3 linked regions of the Lytechinus pictus genome follow. The protein of the gene in region 2 purifies or fractionates together with the protein of the main gene of each other region. This does not show direct contact. Links are inferred from orthologs where the notes say so. Each region holds a gene or a part of one and is shown on either strand. Other genes may lie near its edges. The genes, in order: importin subunit beta-1-like, proteasome activator complex subunit 3-like and PSME3-interacting protein-like.

Region 1 (7,559 bases), on a different chromosome or scaffold from region 2:
AAAAATATTATGAAAAGACGGAAGGGACTTGCCCAATGTTTACGCCGCCAGCTTGTTTCCTATAGTATTGTTGTTATTAATTAATAAAGTAATAGGGAGACCGTGCGGACGTCAAATGCAATTTGCATTCCGCCTTTGCCTAATTGCCTTGGCTGCCTTTTGTTACATGCCGCACAGACCTTCCAGCAAGCAGCACATAAAAATACGACATGTCTCATGATTTTGCCATCACAAATAAAAATATTCAATATACCGTAGATCTATATCAAACTAAGCCAACAACCATGACAACATCATCATCAAATATATATATTCTCAAGCTAATCAATGTTGAAATATCAAGAGATCGTGGTGTTTTATTATGTTTTTGTCAGGACCCCTCACCTGTTTGAACACTGGTTTGTCAGCGCGAGTGCTAACATGCAAGTTCGTGTGGGTCGCACAAATGGTCAGAGATTTTGGAGCAAAAGTCAACTTTGAAGCATTTTGTGGTCACGTACCCAACCTGCACGAGGATTCAAAGTTCATCGCAGGTGTCGCTGTGCGTAATGCTATAGAGTTTCAATGTAATTTTACATGTACTTTGTGAATGAACGTGAGTGTATTGCTTACACACATTCAGGTGGATAATTTGCATATATGTAAACTTAGTGACTCATCGATCATGGTGTAATCATTCAACCGTGTGTGCGGGTGTATTTTGATCTATTTATCATCCCCTGTTTTACATCAATTTTGGAATTATCTTTGGTCGATATATCAAAGTCTCACGGCAGCAATCATAATCAACCAAACAACAATGTCAGTGGAAGAAGTAAGTCGGTACATAAAAAATATTTCATCAAGATGCAACGCAGTGTTTCATGGTACTTTTGTTGAAGTCGGAGGAGACGTAGACGGGAGAGCTTCAGGCAACCGTGAATACAATGGGAGGCTGGTGTGAATTTTCTAGCCGGCCAGACTTTGATATATCGACCGATGAAAGTTTACACCTATTAAGAGAGAGTTTTAATAAATGACCTGTAAATGGTGTCATAATTCATATATTGGTAACATGAAAAGAAAGGTTAAGAAAATGTGTAGTAATGGAAGAGGATGCGAGAGCATAAAGGAGTACAAAGTTAGTGCAGTGGTTGAACTGGGTCCATATTGTAGTGAGATTGGTGTAACTGTTGGAGATGTGCAATTGGCAATGTGTTGTGAGAGTGATTGGTAGAAGCTTGGTTGGGAGTGTCTGACGAATGGAATAGCAAATGTATTATATAATTGGGCAAAGAGCCAGGAAATGTGTACGAAGCAATTTACACTGTTAACTGAGCTACTTGTTTATATTGATGATAATGTAAGTGCTCAACATATCTACAAAAAAATACAAAATGTTTGACGATCCGCGTTAGCAGGTACAAAGAAGATAAGCTTCATGAATTTATGAGAGAAGTGTTTGTTAGGGAACGGAGTAGGTCAGTAGTAGTACATGTAAGGCAAAAGGGAAGAGTTGTAAATATTGTAGGGTGAGCGTAAAGTAAGTGATCAAAATGTAAATACATGTAATTCTTGCCTGCGACCAAATATGGTCAGCCCCCAAAAGAGGTAAGAGAAATGAAAGTGATGGAAAAGAAGTACGGAAAGATGGAGATGAAGTTAGATTCATGTAGGAAAAGATTAGTAGAGACGATCGTAAAGTTGAGAAATGTTAAAAGAAAAGAATTGAGGAAAGGTGCATCACTAGAAGAAAGAAAGGCGACGGTTGTTCGGATGGATAAGGAACTACAATTAAATAGGATTAGAATAAGTAAACTCGAACGAAAATATGCAAAAATCCGCAAAAAGTTGAAGGAGAAAAGAGGCAAAAGGAGGAAGGATACACTGCTAACTACGAAAAAAAAAATTGATGAGAAAAATAAGATATGACAAGTGAAGATTTTTTTTTAAATCTAGGTTTGATATGTGCATAATTTATTTAATTTTTTTATTCCTTTGTCATGAAACTCCATATCGCTATCCACAGGAAATGCCAGGGTACATTCAGAGTAGGAAAGGCAACCTAAATGGCCCTGGTAATTTCTAATTTTTGTCTCGCCTGCATAGCAGAGTGAGACTATAGGCGCCGCTTTTCCGACGGTGGCGGTGGCAAAGGCGGCGTCGTCAACATTGAAATCTTAACCAAGGTTAAGTTTTTGAAGTTTTGAATTTTGGACATAAGAGAAACCATGTATCCTTGAATATCATGCGCGAGTTTCAGGTCACATGACCGAGGTCAAAGGTCACTTACGGTAAACGAACTTTGGCCATATTGGGGGTATTTGAGGAATTATCTTAACTGAAATTTTATGGATCTAGTTCATGAAACTTGAACATAAGAGCAATCAAGTATCCTTGAACATCCTGTGCTAGTTACAGGTCACACGACCAAGGTCAAAGGTCATTTAGGGTCAACAAACTGGTAATGTTGGGGGTATTTGTGGAATTATCATCATAACTTTAAAAGTCTATGGATTTAGTTCATGAAACTTGGACATAAGAGCAGCATTGTATCCCTGAATACCCTGTGTTTGTTTTAGGAACATGGCCACGATCAAAGGTCATTTAAAGGTCAATGAACTCTGGCCATGTTGGGAGTACATGTATGTGTTGAATTGGCATCATAACTTAGGAAGTTAATGGTACTTGCACATGAAACATCGACATAAGGGTAATCAAGTATGAATGATTGTTTTGCACATGTCTTAGGCCACATGATCATGGTCAAAGGTCATTTTGGGTCAATGGACATAATATTTTATTATCTTATTAGTGTTTTCTTCTGTGAATAATTATTATTAATATTAGCTGTTTTTCAAAGGAAGCACTGCTGCTATATCGAATTGCGTAATGCAGGCGAGACTGCCAGAGGCGTTCCACTTGATTTGAAAATGGCCTGGTAATTTTTCTTTTTTTTTCAATGGCAGAAAAATAAAGTAATGTTTAACACTGGTGATAGCGAGCTCATGGCCAGAAATGTGGTTTGCTAACAAGTGTAAATGTATAGATCTAGATCAGACTATTTGTGTCTGTGTGTAGATCGAAGAAAACATAAACAAGCTTTAGTGTTCTTGACGGTACAGTTTAAGGCTTTTTATAATTTCAATATTTTTAAAATACTTTTTCGGGCCACCAAATTTTAATGTTGGGCCACCAAAAAAAACAACTTACGAAAGTATTGGTGGCCCGAATGGGCCACCCCAAAAAAAGTTAATGTGGAGGCTTGCCTAGTAAATATTTTAAAATTGTCCACTGCAAAGTATTGCTCTGACTTCAAATGCTCTAACAATCAAATTGTAGTGGGAAAATAACTAAAATATTCTTAAAGGACAAGTCCACCCCAAAAAATAGTTGATTTGAATAAAAAGAGAAAAATCCACAAGTATAACTCTGAAAATTTCATAAAAATCGAATGTAAAATAAGAAAGTTTTAAAGTTATGCTTAAAGTTATGCTTAATTCCACAAAACAGTTATATGCACATCCTGGTGGGTATGAAAATGATGAGACTGATGACGTCATCCACTCACTATTTCTTTTGTATTTTATGATATGAAATATTCTATTTTTCTCCTCATTGCCAAGTGAAACAACAATTAATTCCTCCCTGAACATGTGGAATGAGCATTGTTTAATACTATATGATTCAGTCAAGTTGGTCCTTATCGTCAAATCTATAAAAAATGAAATATTGTATAATTCAAACAATAAAAAACAAAAGAAATAGTGAGTTAGGGACATCATCGACTGCCTCACTTTAGTTGTGCATATCACTGTTTTTTGAAAAATAAGCAAAAATTTAAAATGTCGTAACTTTCTTATTTTACATCCGATTTTGATAAAATTTTCAGCGTTTTGCTAGTTTAATTTTTCTCTATTTATTCAAATCAACATTTTTCTGGGGTGGACTTGACCTTTAATGAACATTTGTGTGATGTCCCATACACGTATGCACTCATGTGTGGATGTGACTCTGCAAAATTGAGCAGATTTCTGCAAAGCATTGGTCAAACATTTGATGCCCTAACAGAAAAATTATGAAACAAATATTTTGACAGAACATTTTTGTTTGTCCAATACATGCATTAATGTGGAAAATGGTTATTTGATTTGTTTTATCACTTGGATGAAAATCCTACAGCACACTGTACAACAGTTATTAGGTGTATAATAATCAAAATATAAATAATTTATTGGTTGGATTGCTTAACTACATGTAAGCTAGTCGTACAGACTGTTTCACCCTAAGGCTCATCAGAGTCGCTGATGAGCCTTAGGGTGAAACAGTCTGTACGACTAGCTTAGTTAAGCAATCCAACCAATAAATTATTTATACTCAGCTCCTACACAGTCGAGCACTATTAGATATTGCAGTATATCACTATATACTTACCTACCTAATAATCAAAATATACTTTTCATTCACTTTTAGATGTTTTTTTCCCACCATTTATGACATGATCAAATCTTTAAATTATGAAATGTATAAACACTTGTGATTATATTTTCTTATCCAGACACAGCGGAGCTAGAAGCAGCACAGAGGTTTCTAGAACAGAAAGCCAGGGAAAATTTGGTAAGTAACAACTTGGTCATTTTTTTTTTTTTAATTACAAAAACCTAGACTTTTGTAAAACTATGATAATTAGGTACATGTATGTATGAGGGAAAGTAGTACTGTATGGAGGAGAATATTTTAGTTTGCCCTTTTTTTCTCTCTGACGGTTTAGGAAGAGGTTCAATAGTGAATTACATACATGTACATGTACATGTATTTAACTTTTATTCAAATTTGTAGTTATTGTTATATTACTTTTGTTTGATGGATTTTTGACCGCTTTATCAAATTATCAATTTCCCTGAATAATCCCTTTCTATAAAATTCATTTATTCTGTATCAGAAAGGTATTTAATCTTTGTCCCATTTCATGCTGGCTTTTTATCAAAACAATAGTTTATTATTAAAATATGAGTTATGTTAAACCAAACTGACCTTGCCCTAAAATTCACAAAATTTAAGGCCTAGATTATGTAGCCAGCCAGGGCAATGAATTGTATCTGTTTTAACTTGAACTGGCCATGCTGGATACATGCACATTGGTATGATAGTAGCTGGTGTATCCTACCCTCTGCTTGTGTACAAATACAAGCTGCATGTAATTAGGCTTTGTATAATATTCTGTACATGCACTTAAATTTAATTTTTCTGATCTGTAAGGCATTTACATGTAATGATACACAAAACTCACATATTTAAATAATTCAGTGGCTACAATTTTTGTGTCAGTAATAATGTTTTATTTTGCTTGTACAGCCGCTTTTCCTCACTCAACTTTCTGAGATCCTTGCAAATGCCGATAAGGCTCATGTCGCTCGCATTGCAGCGGGTTTACAGCTGAAGAATGCACTTGTATCCAAAGATCCCAATATACGGCTTCAGCTCCAACAAAGATGGTTAGCGCTCTCAGCAGAAGTCAGGAACAATATCAAGAGACAAGTAAATTGATTACATGTTTTTTTTTCATAGTTTTTGTAATAGACTCAAGTGTCAGGCTAAATTATATTCTGATAACTGTCTTTTGATCAAGCTACATGTACCATTAAGGAAATAGGTTAATTTGAACCTGTTCTCATTCTAGCAAACAAGAATGTCAAGTTGAATTTTTTTAAAAGATTTTGGTTGGCTTTGGTAATCAGTAAAGTTTGTTGTGCCAACATGCCTATGATAATATTGCACTCATCTCTTTACAGTTATAATCATTTGTAATTTATTTATTTTCATTTTTACTGTAGTTTATTTGATGGAAGCTTGTGTTAGAATATCCACTGTAGCTGTTTATTAAGGAGAGAGAGGAGAAAAAAACCAGGATTCTATTATCCTTTCCTTGCACTTATGAATGTAATGTAAGTATTAATGATGCAAAGGTGTGAAGAATAGGATGAAATTTGTTGTGGCACTTGCTCTATCCTCAGGCACTTTTTTTTTCTTTTTAAACTAGGTTTTAATGACATTGGGTACAGAGTACCAGGGTCCCAGCTCAGCTGCACAATGTATAGCAGGAATAGCGTGTACCGAGCTTCCTGGTAAGTTATGGCCAGAGCTTTTACCTCAGTTGGTCAGCAATGTCCTCAACACTGCTCAAGGCACTGACCACCTCAAACAGAGTTCCTTAGAGGCTATCGGATACATCTGCCAAGATATCGTGAGTGAAAGCCAATCAGAAAACAAACCTGTTTCAGTTTTGAGTGATTAAGAATATGTTGCGTAGTGTAATACGCTTTTTTAAATTGATGAACATCTGTTCCATTGTCATAAATTTAAAAAAATGAGGAAAAAAATGAAATTATTTTTTATTTACTAATTTTGATAGATACAATATATAATGGGCCAAATACAATCTGTAGAGTTCTCAAGGTGCAACAAAAGAAAGAAGAAGCTGCTACTTTTCTCAATTCTTGTAAGATTTACAAGTAAAATATGTTATTCAGAGAGATATCCATTTGATTTGACATAAGTATTTGGCTTTGAATTTTTATGCTGTAAATACCTTCACGCTAATACTCCCAGGGTATTTTTATTCTTGTCAGTATGGGGGGCATTACAGGCCCCCTTAAGATCTCTTAAAAGTAAAAAGTCAGCGAGTAAAAAAAAATTGCACCACAAAAATCGGTAGTATTATGGTTAAATTGGAATGAATGAATTTTTGGAATTGAGATATCAGGACATTGTACTGTCAGCAGATTATAAAAGGTTTAATTCAAGTGTTATTTCTTTTGTATAGAGTTTAGCACGTCACATATCCATTCCACAGAGGGGAGACCTTTGAAGGACCTTTGAAAGACCAAAAATTGGCAAGGTCTTACAGCATTCTCCAAGATAACTGAAATTTGTCATCTCTGTGGAATGGCTCAGAAAGACCCTCAAAGAATTCTGAAAGACTGATGGATATTTCTTTTCTTACTAGTCTTAGACTTCAATGGTCTTTCAGAGATCTTTTATGCAACAAGTGATCTTTCAGAATTCTTTCCATGGACTGCCTGGTCTTTCAATGATCTGTCAATGACTTTTCAATGATCTCTCATAAGTCTTACAGTGATCTCCCAAAAAATCTTGAGAGACTGTCGAAAGATCAAGCAAAGACTAATAAGAACCTTGAAAGTTCATAGAAAGACCGCTGAAAGACCATTTTCCAGTAAAGGGGCCATTCCACAGAGAGCAAGACCGCTGAAAGACCTTTCAAAGACCATGAATTTTGGTCGATCTTACAGAGGTCTCTCAATGAACCTACAATGGTCTTTGAGGTCTTACACGAGTCCTGACCAATCTTTCAGCGGTCTTCGTGGTCTTCATGGGCTCCAAAACTTTTTGAAACGGCTCAAAACAGTCTTAGAACAGTCTTAGAGGAAAATGGTCTTTCAGTGGTCTTTCAGCAGTCTTTCAGTGGTCTTTCGATGAACTTTCAAAGGTCTTACTAGTCTTTCAATGATCTTTCGGCGGTCTGTCAAGATTTTTGCGGAGATCACTGTAAGACTCATGAG
Region 2 (6,936 bases):
TTTAAGAGCGCTGCCCCTTCGTCACTGTTGACTCCCATCAGAATGTCATATTGGTGTAAAAGATCCATATCTTGTAGATTATCGAGGGTACGTGGAAAGAAGAGCCCATCAATCCGTGGTTCAAAGTAAGCACCCCCGAGAGCGGTGTAATCGACAGCTACGATTTCTTCCCATGTTTTATTCCGAAGACAAGCTAGATTTTTTGTCCATGATCCTTCAGTGCAGTTCAGGGTATTAATGACGATATTGGACAACCTCCTAGCCTGACCCTCGGAACTGATATAGGAAGCATCGGTTGATGTGCTGCTCTGGATAATAGCTCTTTGGAATAGGTTATTATCGTTTAAAGGAGTAAGAATCTGAGCTACAACTCCTGTAGCTCCCTCACGCCCTTGGCCAACAATGGTAATCATACTCCCGTCACCATTGAAAGCTCCGATGTTATCCCGCACCCACTGTATGGCAAATCTTTGATCCCAGAGTCCGTAGTTCCCCGGTACCGTGTCATCCTCCGTGCTGAAGAAGCCGAATGTGAGGAATCTGTAGTTGATGGTGACGACGATGATGGAACCTTTGACGGCCATATCCCTCCCGATGTACTCCGATCCCGAATAAGCTCGGTACCCTCGACCTGGTATGAACAACATGACAGGCAGTTTGTTATCTTCAGTTGCTGCTGGTGGTACAAAGATGTTCAAGAAGAGACAGTCTTCGCTTATCAACAGATCATCAAGATCTTCCACTGGTGATTGTGGACAGGCAGCGCCAAAAGTCGTTGCATCCAGTGTTCCGTCCCAAGGAAGCTTGGGTCGTGGACGAGCAAATCGAAATTCTCCCACTGGGGGTTCTGCGTAAGGAACACCCATGAATTCTTCCATTGCGTTGCCGTCAAAGTCATAACTGTTCCCTTCGACCTCTCCCAATCCAGCAACGTTCACTGTCACTTGAGCAAACGAAACATGAATGTCGATGATGAATAAAAGTAAAAGGACAGTAACCAGATGAGATGCCATGACTAGCAGCATTGGTAAGTCATCGACATCCACAACATTTAAATAGCTTTGAGTGGTCGCTTAATAATTTCTGCGGAAACTCTTCAAACCTATATATGCAACCTTTCCCGGATTTCTATGTGCCACACCTTTGGAAGATAAACGGTGATTGGTCAGTTATAACTGCTGTTTCACTGTTTGATTTCACCCTTTTGTCTAGAGGAAAATGATCACCGCAGGGACAAAGTACGTGGTATTAGCAAACATTCCGACACGTCTGGCGCGAAATGACTCAGCATCGTGTAACGTAGTCATATGGTAGTGCAGATCTCTGCATACAACTTTGAAAAATATTTATGAAATCAAATAGCAGGGGGTAAATATTGAATCATCCGAGAGGCACTTGTTGACCTTCGCATGCTTTATTATCCTTCTTCTCAGTAAAGCAGGAAAGTTATACATTAAAAAACCCCGAAAACTTCCATTTTGTAGAATAGATGACGAAATCCTTGTTAAAAATGAGATGACGTATTAATATCATACGAGCAGTTGTTCATTCACTCACGAAATTGGTTTTGAAATCCATGACTATATATATTTTAGACGATACCATCTTGAATACATTAGAAAGTAGGCTATGATTGATAACGCAAAGACAGCGAAATGTAAAGATAAAAAAACAAAACAGAAACGAGTCGACAGACCTTCAATAAAGTATGATAAGTGGTGAGAGTGATACAATTCTTACCACGGGAATATTAAGATTTAATTTTATTTATTCATTGAAAAAAAAAGTAATGGGAATGTAACATTGGTAAACGTAAACCCTGCATGCGATCGGATAAGCAAAAAAAAAATTACCTATGCTGCCCTTGGGGTGCCCATTGTCAGGAGGGGTGCATTCTTTTATTTTCCTGCCAACTAATTTTTCCTGTATATAATTCCCTGCTAAAATTGTCTTACAACCAAACAAGAGATCATAAAAATTATATAGGGGCGCTTACCCCCTCCCCCTCCCTGAGCAGGCCCGCGCGTGCAGTCGTGATTACTTAGGACGACTACTACGAAGCCATGCGAACCATCGATGTCACTTTCCGAGATGAATTGAATTCATTTATTTTCCATTAAAAACATGCAAAATCAAGAATATACAAACATTACAAAGTATGAAAATGAGACATTGTACAAATTACATATCATACTTTAAAAATAAATACATATAAAGGAGAAATTATATTTCACTAAAGATCCCATATTGATCTTAAAATTTCTGTGATGATGAGAGGTAAATTAGGCCGGAGCACCAAACAGTAAGTGGCGTATCTAACTTTTGTCAGAGTGAACTTCCGGTCCTCTTTAATTGATTCAGATCCCTTAACAAATATATTGAAGAAAAAAAAGAATGAAAAAACAAATTATAAAAATACATGAGAAATTTAAAAATAGGCCTACAATAAACTACATAAGAAATTAATTATGTATTGACATTCTTTTTTGGGGGGATGTTTGTTAGAAATGTCAAATTTATGTTTTCACCAAAAATAAGCATTCTACAAGCAATAATATGAGTTAACAGCAAAATGTATTTTCAGACACTAATTTGCATCATTTATTTTGAAATATGAAGTTTTAACTTGTTGAAATTTTTCTTAACATTTGTAGTTTCAAAAACCTATAGGCATATATGGGGGTGCAAATTTTCGCCAAACAGTCTGGCAAACTGACACTAAACATGGTGTGAAAAGGCACAGTTAAAGAGATCGATGCATACTGCGGACTGAAAATAGTATAAAAATTCACAAAACAAAATATGATGAAAATTTCATCAAAATCTGATAATAATAAATAGCAAAGTTTTGGCGTATGTGCATGCCAGGTCTATGTAATACATGAAATATCGAGACATTATTTCTCCTATTAATCCTCACCCCCATCGAGCCCTTTGTCAAAAGCTGTATGGATCCGCCCCTGAATAAAAATTCACTTAAGGCGGACGAAAATCCCCCCCCCCCCCCCCCATTGCGATCGACATTGCCAGAGCCGCGCATGTGCGCGCTGCCGAGGTTGTCTGTCCAAGTCAATATTACACGTATAGTCAATAGAACCAAATCTGCCGAGGAACCAAATCTGCAAACATCAAGCTGCGTTAAACCTGGCGGATATGGTTCCGATTAGGGTTGGTGTTGGAGTTAAGTTGGCGCTCTTCAATCTGGTAGATTATCTGCGCCAGGTCGTTTCCGAGTTAGCTGCTTAATTCCCGCATCAATGTCCTCGGCGTTAGACTAGTCTGACCTGTCATATAGCGAGGTGCAATATAATTATGATTAGTTACCACCACCATTAAATTGTGCGTTTTTGTACTTCATAGTATGCAAACTTATATAAGAAGCTAGGTCGAAGCTCAATTTGAGTAGTCTAAGGATTGTCACTAATCATCAGAACAAAAGGAAGAGAGAGAGAGAAAGAGATGGAGAGAGATCAGTGGAATATTCTTATTCGAATCTCTTTGTTTTTTTCCACGTAATTCAGGATAACTTTATAATCTGCATTTCTTCCCAATAATGTTGCTAGATATGATATTGGCTTGTTTAATTTCAGGCTTCTTTGCATAATTCTCCTTTCTCTTTCATTTTTCTTACATTGTAGTAAAAAATGTTCTATTGTCTCAGGAACCTGACAATGGGAACATAGACCATTTTCATGTTGATTAGATTTATACAGATAATAATTCAATTTACATTAAAAACGATATCGGCCATTTAGAACGATATCTGCCGGCGGATACGGTATCCGCCGGTGGAACCAAATCCGCCGCTACACCGGCTGTAATTGCCCTCCCCACCCCCCCCCCCCCCCCCCCCTCCGATCCCCTATCGATAAATCTCGAGCGCGATATCGGATGCGCATGCGTGACACATGTGTTAATACTTAATGGTCGGTGAAAGGCATCTGCTGGCGTAAAATCCCTTGATTTTGACAAATATTGGACTAAGAATTAAAATATCACCATGGCTACTGATGAGGTACATGAGGTGAGATTGAAATTATAAAATTTTTCATGTTTTATTCAAATAATTGGCAAGAAAATTCTAAAGGACCGAGTATGCAGGTTATTCATCACAGTCCCGTACTATCATATCTGCGTGGTATTTCTGGTAAACGAGCCACATAACGTCGACAACAACGTTTTTATTTTATTTAGTCTATATCTAACAAGTTAACTGTTAGACAGTATAGGGGCGGCCCAGTATAGGCTTAAGTTATAGATCTAGTCTACTGCCCAACTTTAGCAAAAGGAAGCAAGTGATGCATCAGTCAAGTTTGAATTATTGAACCGGCCGTCTCCATGCCATGCCATGCCAGGCCATGGTCTCTGACGTGTTAATCAATTGTGGGGATTGGGATTCTGGCAAGAAACCGGGAGGGGGGGGGGGCACTCAGACAGCATATAATGCGTGGTGGTGGGTACATGCATGTGCCGCGGAGACGACCCCCATTTTTACACTCCTATTCCTAATAAATTTCCATTCAAAGTAGGGTGTCTGAAGCCACACTGAAAAGTGTCAGCATAAAACAGGCTAATTTAGGGGAAAATATGGCACATTTTTTCGGGGAAGTTCAGGCTACTAGAAAAATGTGATCTGAATTGATTATTAACTTGTGTTTGGCATGTATGGAAAGAGAAAATTCAGGGGCTTCTTTTGACAGTAAGGACAAGTTTATGTGATCATTTGAAATAAGGATTTAGAGATAAATTGCTAACCCTTATTTTTGTGTGTGTTGAGATTGCCATTTCTCCATGCGTTTTCTATGGGGAAATGAAATTTCTGTTTTGCACAATTTTTTTCACTTTGTCGCAATTTTTCATTGTGATCTGGTTTCCAAATCTTTATAAAAATCATACCATCAGATAGAGCATAAAAAATCCTATTGGACTCTTTATGGACAAGTTTTTGGCATTAATAATGAATTTATAACAGCTCTTGGAAGCTAAAAATTTGGATTTGTGTGTGTCCATTTCTTAACTACACAGTCTATGGCAGAGAAATGCTGAAAATTGACCTAATTTCATTCTTCTTTTTTGCAGCCAATAATTTGATTTTTTTCAAAAATGTTACATTTCTGTCAGTCTGAAGGTCATTTCTCTTCAAATTCACAAAGAAAATGTGATATTTTCTTGAAATAAGAAAAATAATTTTTTTCTCCAGACACCCTATTCAAAGGGCAAGACAACATTTTTATTCGAGAAAAAGAACAAAGAAAGTTGATCCAAGGCCTTGCCAAAGCATTTTCTTCTTATCAAGAAAAAAAGAAGAGACAAATCTGTTCCAAAGCAAATGCAAAGTTTCGCATACAATGTATTTTTTGTAACGCCGTTCCGGCCGCATTGATCCGCTACAGTAAGCTGCATTTTTGGTAGACGGCTGGCAGCCGTCTGTTTCGAGGAGTTTTTTAACATTTTTGATTTTTTTTTTAAATTTCTCCTCGTACACAGTCGACGGCTCGCTATTGTGCAGCCACCATTAGGGGGTTAACAACGTGTTGTGCTCTCATTCTAAAAATCAAGCTCTCTGTAAATCTATCGAGTGAAATTGCGATTCCAAGTTCTTTTCTGTTAGTATTTCCAATGCAAAAAGTAGATTGACAACGGTCAGATGGTCTTGATGGCGATATTGTTGAGAGAGCATGTCTACAGACTACGGGGCCACAGACATGCAGACATTGATTAGCTGGAGGGGGAATTGCCAAACTTAATTAGGACCTAGATCTGATTAAACGGGCTTAACGTTAGATCCAACTCTATCGTGTGGCAGCTACATAATAATGTTTATTTTCCTTTTTTTAGTTTCATTTTTTCTGTTTGATTCTTTATCCAGGTGACTGAATGCAAGGACAAATTACATGAAATGGTAAGATCAAGTCAGAGTCTCGTCAAAGATCCATTACTTTGTAAGGCCTGATAACCTCAACCTTGATTGCAAGAGAATTGAACAAATTGAAAATTACCTCTCTATTCTCTCGCCAGGAAAGCTAGGATAGGGGCTGATATGATTTTTTTTTAGCTTTTGATTCAATGCTCAGATATTTAATTATTGTATACTGACATTTTGTAAATTTGCATTGCAAGAGATTGATTTAGTTGAACACTTTCTGATACTAATCAGGCCTAAGACGATGTCAAAGAGTGTCCAGTATTTAATTATTGATGATTTTGTTTTGTTAAATGGCATATCATTGTCCACACATGTACTTAGTCCTTGGAGTTGCTTGTTTTAGTTTAACAAGTTAGATTCACTATTGATTCTCAATCATGTTTTATTCATATAATCACCAAGTTGAAACATTTCACAAAGCTCTCATGAGTGACTTCACTTCACAAACGAGTGGCGATCCTTTCTTGTAGTACAGTAATACTTATGTGCACCAATTTATTATTGGTGTTGATTAAGCTCCTAAAAAAGGATGAGCAGTTGTTTATAAAGTTGCTTGTAGCTTACGAATAGCTTTATGAAACACCCAAGTGGCCCTTTCAGATTGAAATTGCTGTTAATAAGCATCTGAATGCAAACTTCATTTATCTAACTTTAAATAGTAGGGAATTCACATTCGCTCCTACTTTGTTAAGAAAGGGAAAATCTGCCTTTGCTAAATCTCAAGAACTGGGGATGAAGCATCTTATATATATCACCAGTTTTCACTGATCAGCAGATATGTGCCAATCAGATGCAAGTATTTCTGTAGCCTACATGTATAATGTAATGATAAAAATTACTGACCTTTTGTTTCATGAAATGCTCCCTAAGTGTGCATAATTCATGATGCATAACTTAGGAACAGCTTTATGAAACAGTCCCCAGTGCAATAATGTTTGAACTTCAAGCAAAAAATGATCATAATTTTTCATTTTTCTCCCTTTTTCTATCGCCGATCAGTCAGAGAATCT
Region 3 (7,120 bases), on a different chromosome or scaffold from region 2:
GAAATTGGTCTTTATATCTAATCAGTATGAATGCATCTCAATTGAAATACATGGTAGTATTTCCTTAAATCTGACGTGAGACGGTTCCAATCTATTATACAAGTGACGATATCTGCAGTTATTGTTTAATTATGGCTATTATGTAAAAATATAGGTGTCCGCTATCACAAACATCAAATATTGAAGGTTTATTAATCTCTGCTTGTTATGGTGCATAAGTATTCTAGGTTTGGTAGTGACTGAAATTGTCAAGTGCATCTCATTCGAAGCGAATTTAAATCATTTTAAAAATGTTACTATCGCTGTTGAAGTCGTTACAAGACTATCGATAATAGATAAACATATCATATTTCATCATGTACTTTGAGATTTATTTGTTAAATGTAATGAATTGTGATTGAATTTGGTCTTAATATCTAATCAGTATGAATCCATCTCCATTGAACTAAATGGTATAGTATTTCACTAAATCTGACCTGAGACGGTTCCAATCTTTTATTTGACAAGTGACGATATCTGCAGTTATTGTTTATCATGGCTATTAATGTAAAAATATAGGTGTCCACTTTCACGAATATCAAATTCGATGTCAAATTTAATTACTTTGAAAGTGTGATAGTCTCTGCGGAAGTAGTTTAGATCATCAGTCAGAAATTATAAATTATATTCCATTAATATATATTTAGTGATTTATTTGCCGTATGTAACGAAATTTTATTGTATTATGTCGAAAACATCTCATCAGTGAAACTAATAAATCTGATTTGTAACCGATTACAACTGTTAGTTGTACAAGTCATTATGTAATAATTTGTCACCCTTTTCACGAACCGTTCCATTAACGAGGACCTGTACCAAATTGAAAACATATGGCTATTCATATTCTCGTTTTTCATGACTGATTTTTGTTCCTTTTGAATACTAATATAAGAGAACGATCGAGACAATTAAAGACTGAAGTTTCTTTTCTTGAGATAAAATATTTCGACATCTAGTTCTGAATATATAAAGATATATTCATATTAAAATGATTAATTTTTTTTATTTTCAAATTGATTTTGACCTCTTGGGACGGATCGTGATACGATGACCAATTAAATTAATGTAGAGACTTATGTGGTCTTTATTTTGATCGATATTTGGTATTTTGGCATTGTTACCTTGTGTTCAAAGGGTTCCCTTAGTTTAGTTACATAAAAATCATGGTTGAGATACTCAATATTTTGAGTGCTCTTTGAAATTCCGTTATGAAATTTCATAATTCATCTCCGATGAATCACCACCGGTACTATCAACATCATCATTGTCATCCTCATCATCATCACCATCATCACCATCATCATCATCATCATCATCAACATCATCACCATCACCACCATCAATATCACCTTCTATACCTACATCTACTCCATGTTAATCCTATAATAGTTTTTCAAAATTTCACTCTCTGTTCATCTCATCACATTTACCACCAACATCATGAACATCATACAAATTTGATACAGAAAATTTATATACAAATCAATTATATTTATAATCTTGAATTATTGGTAATATCACAATTTACTCTTTAATAGTGACATGGATATTTTTTATATTTTCAATACAAACAATACATCATCTGATAACAACTATTACTCAACTGAAGAATTTACGTCTAAATTCAAAGACATGGAACATAATTTCAGTTTACTTCACATAAATTCTCGAAGTTTGAACAAAAATTTTGAATCAATTGAATCATTACTTCTTACTCTAAATAATTTCAAATTTTCTATTATTGGTGTCACGGAAACCTGGCTTCACAATACTTCACCAAACATTTTCAATTTGCAAAACTATAATCTTGTTAGGCGAGATCGTGAAGAACAAAGAGGAGGAGGTTTAGCATTTTACATCAGTGACCATTTGCAGACCAAAATAAGAAAAGAAATATCATTAAAACAAAGTGAATCTTTATTCTTAGAAGTCATGAATCCTAAAGGTAAAAATGCAATTATTGGGTTAATTTACAGACCCCCTCATGGTAGAGTAAATTTATTTTGTGAAGACCTCGAAACATGTCTCCATACTATCACAGAAGAAGAGAAACAAATATTCTTAATGGGTGATTTCAATACTGACCTATTATCTCAAACTAATGAACATGATATATTCCTACACACCATGCATTCATTTTGATATTATCCCCATATAGATAAACCGACCAGAATTGACAGTCATTCCTCAACACTTATCGACAACATTTTTTCAAACATATTAAACAGAAATACTACCAGTGGATTAATAATATCTAACATATCTGATCATTTACCGGTCTTTCTATTATGCGAAAACGATATTGTAAAAGATAATACACCGAATTTGATAATGAACAGTGCGTCCCACAAAAAACGAAACCGAGATTTATCGATGGTTTATCATAACTTAATCACAAATACAATAGACAAATGACCTACCATTTTAAAGCTTAGAATCTCCTCTTTCATCTGAAATTACTAAGATTATTTCTCATTCACGCATGAGTGAGCAAAAACAATTTGAAGAGGGGGTACCAAAAAGTCACTTGGCGGGCTGTATCTGGGTTTCAAAAAAAAATTCAATATCTGCTTTTTAATTTGATACCTCAATTACAGAAAATGGTCAAGAAATAACGAAGTTCTGCTTATTTGAAATAAAGCTTGAATTTTAATAATTTCATAAAATGAAGAGGTTTTACAGGCTAGCGTTCCGAGTCACTCGACACTCCGTTTAAATGAAGCTCTCCCAAAATCTGAAATTGGGGTTTCAAATTCCCCACTTGAGCTCCCATTGAGCCATTGACACAACACGCAGGGCAATGGGGTTCCTGTGTTATAAGCTGGTGGGGTATTTTTTTATCACAGGAATCTCGTAATGCATCCGATTTTGATGAAATTTTCAGTGTTATGTTTGTTGGATTTTTCTATATTTGTTCAAATCAACTTTTTGTTGGGATGGACTTGTCCTTTAACATGAATAGAGTGTCCATTTTTTAGGTCTAAAATCTGAATGTTCTTTCGCTTGCGCTTCGCGCTCGCATAGTTACATACACCTATCCCTTTCATGATTACAAAAAAAGTGCTTAGAATGACCAATTTTTTAGGTCGGAATGTAAAAAAAAATTCAGCTCGCATCATTTGTTGAAATGTAACGTCTTCACAGGTCCCTTTCGATCAGGCCAGAACGTTTATTAAAAATTTCTGCTCGCGCTTGGCGTTCGCAGTAATTATCTAGTTACATACGCCTCTTGTTCAGGATCACAGACATAGAATGTTAAATCAACAGGACAAAATACATGAAAGTAAAAAAAATCATAGCTCTACGCCATGGTGCATTGAAGGGAAAACACAGGAAAGAAAGTTTTGGGAAGATACGCATGGACGTACGACAGAGAGGGGGGAAATATAGAGAAAGGACTTAAGATGGAAAGAGCTAAACACAACTTAAGAGAGATCGAAAGAGAGACAGGTGGAGAAGAGAGAGAGAAGGGGGGAAGGGGAACACTCACATGTTCACTGTCGAATGCCGGCAATTAAGCTGAAAATGATTGACGAAAGATGAAATAGTTGAAAAGGAAAACATTGAATTTCTTCTTCCACAACCAAATATGCCGAAAGTGAAAGATGCCTTTATATGGCTTGAAATAAAATGCATTTATTTATTTATCTATTTATGTATGTATGCATTTATTTATTTATTCATTAATTTACTTGCTTACTTATTTATTTACTTTATAATTTACTTATTTATTTACTTCTTTATTATTTATTTATTTATTTATCTATTTATTTATTTATTTATGAAAATAATGCGATAGTTTGAATAGGGCAGAAAAAATAATTTAAGTCAGTTTTACTGGGGATTGAATATCTACTCTGAATTATTATCAATCTACAGTGGCGGATCTACGGAGGGGGTAGGACGCTTTACCTCGCAGCTCAAACCAACTTGTCAAACCCCCTCTTAGCAATTAAAAGCTAGATCCGATCCGCCACTGATGTGCCTTATAAATAAATTTTACAGAGTAAGATGTTTTTCTTTTCAAATTGGAGGTTTAGTTACACAGTACTAGAGCTCGTTCGTCATCGATCGATATGCGATCTTATGAAGACCAATCAGAGGCTAATCAAAGTTCTAACGAAAGAAGAAGACTGAGAATGAGGGGAATAGAAAATATAATTACATTTAGGATCAATTCAAAGTGAACGTCTTGGTAAGTGTTCAGGAAGCCATGGTTCATCAACTTCTGCGCTCCGGACGCCATACACTCGGCGCATAATCATGATAATGCTCCCCGTAATGCCCGAGGCCCGAAAGATGGAGAATCGAGCCCGAGGACTCCGCCTCCGGAGGCCGGCGAGCGCGAGCCGCGAGGAGCTCCACCGGATTCGCCTTATTCTTCGGCGGATCAGAGCTCGCAGATAGCCTTGCTTCTTGTCTTGATTCATGCCATGGCATGGCTAGCCAGGCGGCTTCTTGAGAGTAAAAACCATTTACTAACGTAGGCTCACTCTAAATGAAGCCAGGCAGTCCTCCCTATTCATGATCTGCGTGTACCGCAAAAAACCCTGAAACTTTCGCCCCCGAGATTTCTACTTTCCTTCTAAAAGTAAAAGATCTAGCTCTAAATCATGTACATGGGATAAAACTTCATTTCCGACATTTCTACGCTCTCGTTGTTATTTTTAAAACAAGAATTCATCAAAAAAATGAAAAAATATTGTGAAAAGACGGAAGAGACTTGCCCGATGTTTACGCCGCCATCTTGTTTCTTATTTGTACTTCCCCAACGTTACGGACGCGAGCAAATGTAATTTAGGGTCAATAAACGTAGTATATTATTATTATATAAATGCACTAGTGCACGCAACAGATGTCGACTTTTTCCATGAGCCATTGCGAATTTCAGCCTGTCCGCTGCAACCGATAGGTGGCGTACCTTAATGTCAATACACCAAATTCAACCACACTAGAGTTTTCAGCACACTAATATCTTATCATTCTTTTTGACTCCAGCATGTGTACACTACCGAAACCCATAAACAGCATAAAAAACAAACATTAAGATCTAGAATCTTAATCTTCTTTTTTTGCTTAGTATTTGAGTTTTGAGTTGAAATAGTACAGTGTAATTGAGCAGATAGCCAACTGTCTCTAAGTGACAGAGTGGATTTGAAGAGAAGAAAACTGGGGTTGATAGACTATACAGGCTTATTACCTAGTAATTTTTTTTCAAAATTGAGTGAAAAAGAACGATTCAAGAGATCTTGATTATCAAGGTAAAATGAATTAACAACTGATTCCCTTAAATTGCCTTGTTATTTCTTTTATCTTTTCAGATAATGGCAAGTTCAAATGTCAAAACATTTGTTTCTGAGAAGGAGCTGTCTGAGCAGCGACAACGTCGACAAGAAGAGTGGGATAAAGTTCGTACTGCAGACCAACCAGAAGGTTTGAATCATTTTTTGACATTTCCAATTATCTTACATGTACAGGTATATTGTTCTGGCTTATTTCTTCTTTTTTTTTTGGGGGGGGCAGATGGTGCACTTGCACCCACCAATTTAGAAAGTTTTATTTTGTAATATACTTTCTTTTTCATTCATAATTTTATAAAACCTGTATATCTTTTTATCTTTCTAAAAACAGACCTTAATGTCCATCTAATAAAGTGACAATGTGGATTTGACGATTTCAGACATCTATACTAGGCTATTCATTGAAATCAAGTAATGTCATTTTATTGACAGATTTTGACAGAGAAGATAGAGTCAGTGGTCCGAAAAAATATATTGCGTGTTGATAAGAATCAATAAGATTTTGCCACATCATAGAATTTTTCCTTCTTGTATCTTTTCATAGAGTGTCCAGAAGAGGAGTATGACCCTCGCTCGCTTTTTGAAAAACTCCAAGAGCAGAAAGACAAGAAGCAGTCAGAATATGATGAGCAGTTCAAATTTAGTAAGTATTGACAATTCATTGCATTTTTATAGGTCATCCACTGCATAGTTAATGATTTACTGTGGAATTTATTCTGGATAAATTAACATATTTCTTCGTTATTGAATGCTAACGATGAAGACAATGTTGAATGATCTTTGTAGGTTTGCATGGTGGAGTTTATATTGTGGAGAAGGTTTACGGTTCACCATGTGTAATATGAAGAAGGGAAAGGAAGTACAGGTAGAAAAATTGAAATGGAAAGACAAGAAAGGATGAAGAGAAGAAATTAGAAGTATTCTTTTTCTTGAAAGTGAGTGAAGTCCTGAAAAGGACTGTAAACCAGATGAGATGAGCTGAATATGGCTTGAGTAGCGATGGTTTGAGTTGTAGCAGGATGAAGTGAAAAGAGGTTACTCGGCGTTTCGGGCAGGTTGACTGTCTTCTAATTTCCTCTTTTCATCCTTTCTCGTCTTTCCATTTCAATTTTTCTGCTTGTACTTCCTTTCCCTTCTTCATATTACACATGGTGAACCATAAACCGAATTGTAGGCATAAGGCAGATAAGAGTGACAGGGATATGATAAGATATATTTATGTATCAAGATTGAAGGTCACAAGCTACATTATCATTGACATATTGATTTGGATATACTGGATGAAATTTTTAGTTGGAAAGTCGATTATATAAATGAATGATTCATCCTCACAATCCATAAACATGATCAAGCCACATCAAACTAAAATACGGGATAGTTTATCAGATGACTTCGGCAATGGTATTTTATCTTACGATTCAGTCGTTTCATTTCGGAACCTGCGTACCCGGATGTTGCAAAATTGGTCTGAAAAGTTGCTTGATACTTGAATAAAAAAACTCCTAAAATGACACGGCACAAACATTTCATTTTACAGATTTATCACAAACAATATTGAGGGGGATGTTTCAACCCCCTCCCCCTGCCCCAGTCTTTTTAGGGTTAGAGGAGTCAAGTTGCATGAATGTACTTTTTTAATAATTAACTTAAAGGTCAAGTCCACCTCAGAAAAAAGTTGTTTTGAATCAACAGAGAAAAATCAGACAAGCATAATGCTGAAAATTTCATCAAAATCGGATGTAAAATAAGGAAGTTATGACATTTTGAAATTTTGCTTATTA

Evidence for each region.
Region 1: the proteins of proteasome activator complex subunit 3-like (region 2) and importin subunit beta-1-like purify together in Homo sapiens (affinity purification with mass spectrometry; 3 studies listed by BioGRID and IntAct, with this or other methods). This does not show direct contact. The link is inferred for Lytechinus pictus from reciprocal best matches to the Homo sapiens genes PSME3 and KPNB1.
Region 3: the proteins of proteasome activator complex subunit 3-like (region 2) and PSME3-interacting protein-like purify together in Homo sapiens (affinity purification with mass spectrometry; 4 studies listed by BioGRID and IntAct, counting the BioPlex papers as one, with this or other methods). This does not show direct contact. The link is inferred for Lytechinus pictus from reciprocal best matches to the Homo sapiens genes PSME3 and PSME3IP1.

What each region holds. Positions count from the first base shown.
Region 1 is NC_087245.1:3,731,285-3,738,843, reverse strand, and holds the start of importin subunit beta-1-like, read left to right. Parts: upstream 1-4,538; 5' UTR 4,539-4,596; intron 4,597-5,334; 5' UTR 5,335-5,517; intron 5,518-6,019; 5' UTR 6,020-6,025; coding exon 6,026-6,223; intron 6,224-7,559.
Region 2 is NC_087257.1:14,472,495-14,479,430, forward strand, and holds the start of proteasome activator complex subunit 3-like, read left to right. Parts: upstream 1-3,859; 5' UTR 3,860-4,000; coding exon 4,001-4,024; intron 4,025-5,869; coding exon 5,870-5,902; intron 5,903-6,925; coding exon 6,926-6,936. Other genes in the region: uncharacterized protein LOC129275040, read right to left, coding at 1-1,025. UniProt on the Homo sapiens protein: Subunit of the 11S REG-gamma (also called PA28-gamma) proteasome regulator, a doughnut-shaped homoheptamer which associates with the proteasome. 11S REG-gamma activates the trypsin-like catalytic subunit of the proteasome but inhibits the chymotrypsin-like and postglutamyl-preferring (PGPH) subunits.
Region 3 is NC_087246.1:47,319,708-47,326,827, forward strand, and holds the start of PSME3-interacting protein-like, read left to right. Parts: upstream 1-4,083; 5' UTR 4,084-4,234; intron 4,235-5,360; 5' UTR 5,361-5,363; coding exon 5,364-5,472; intron 5,473-5,883; coding exon 5,884-5,982; intron 5,983-7,120. UniProt on the Homo sapiens protein: Promotes the association of the proteasome activator complex subunit PSME3 with the 20S proteasome and regulates its activity.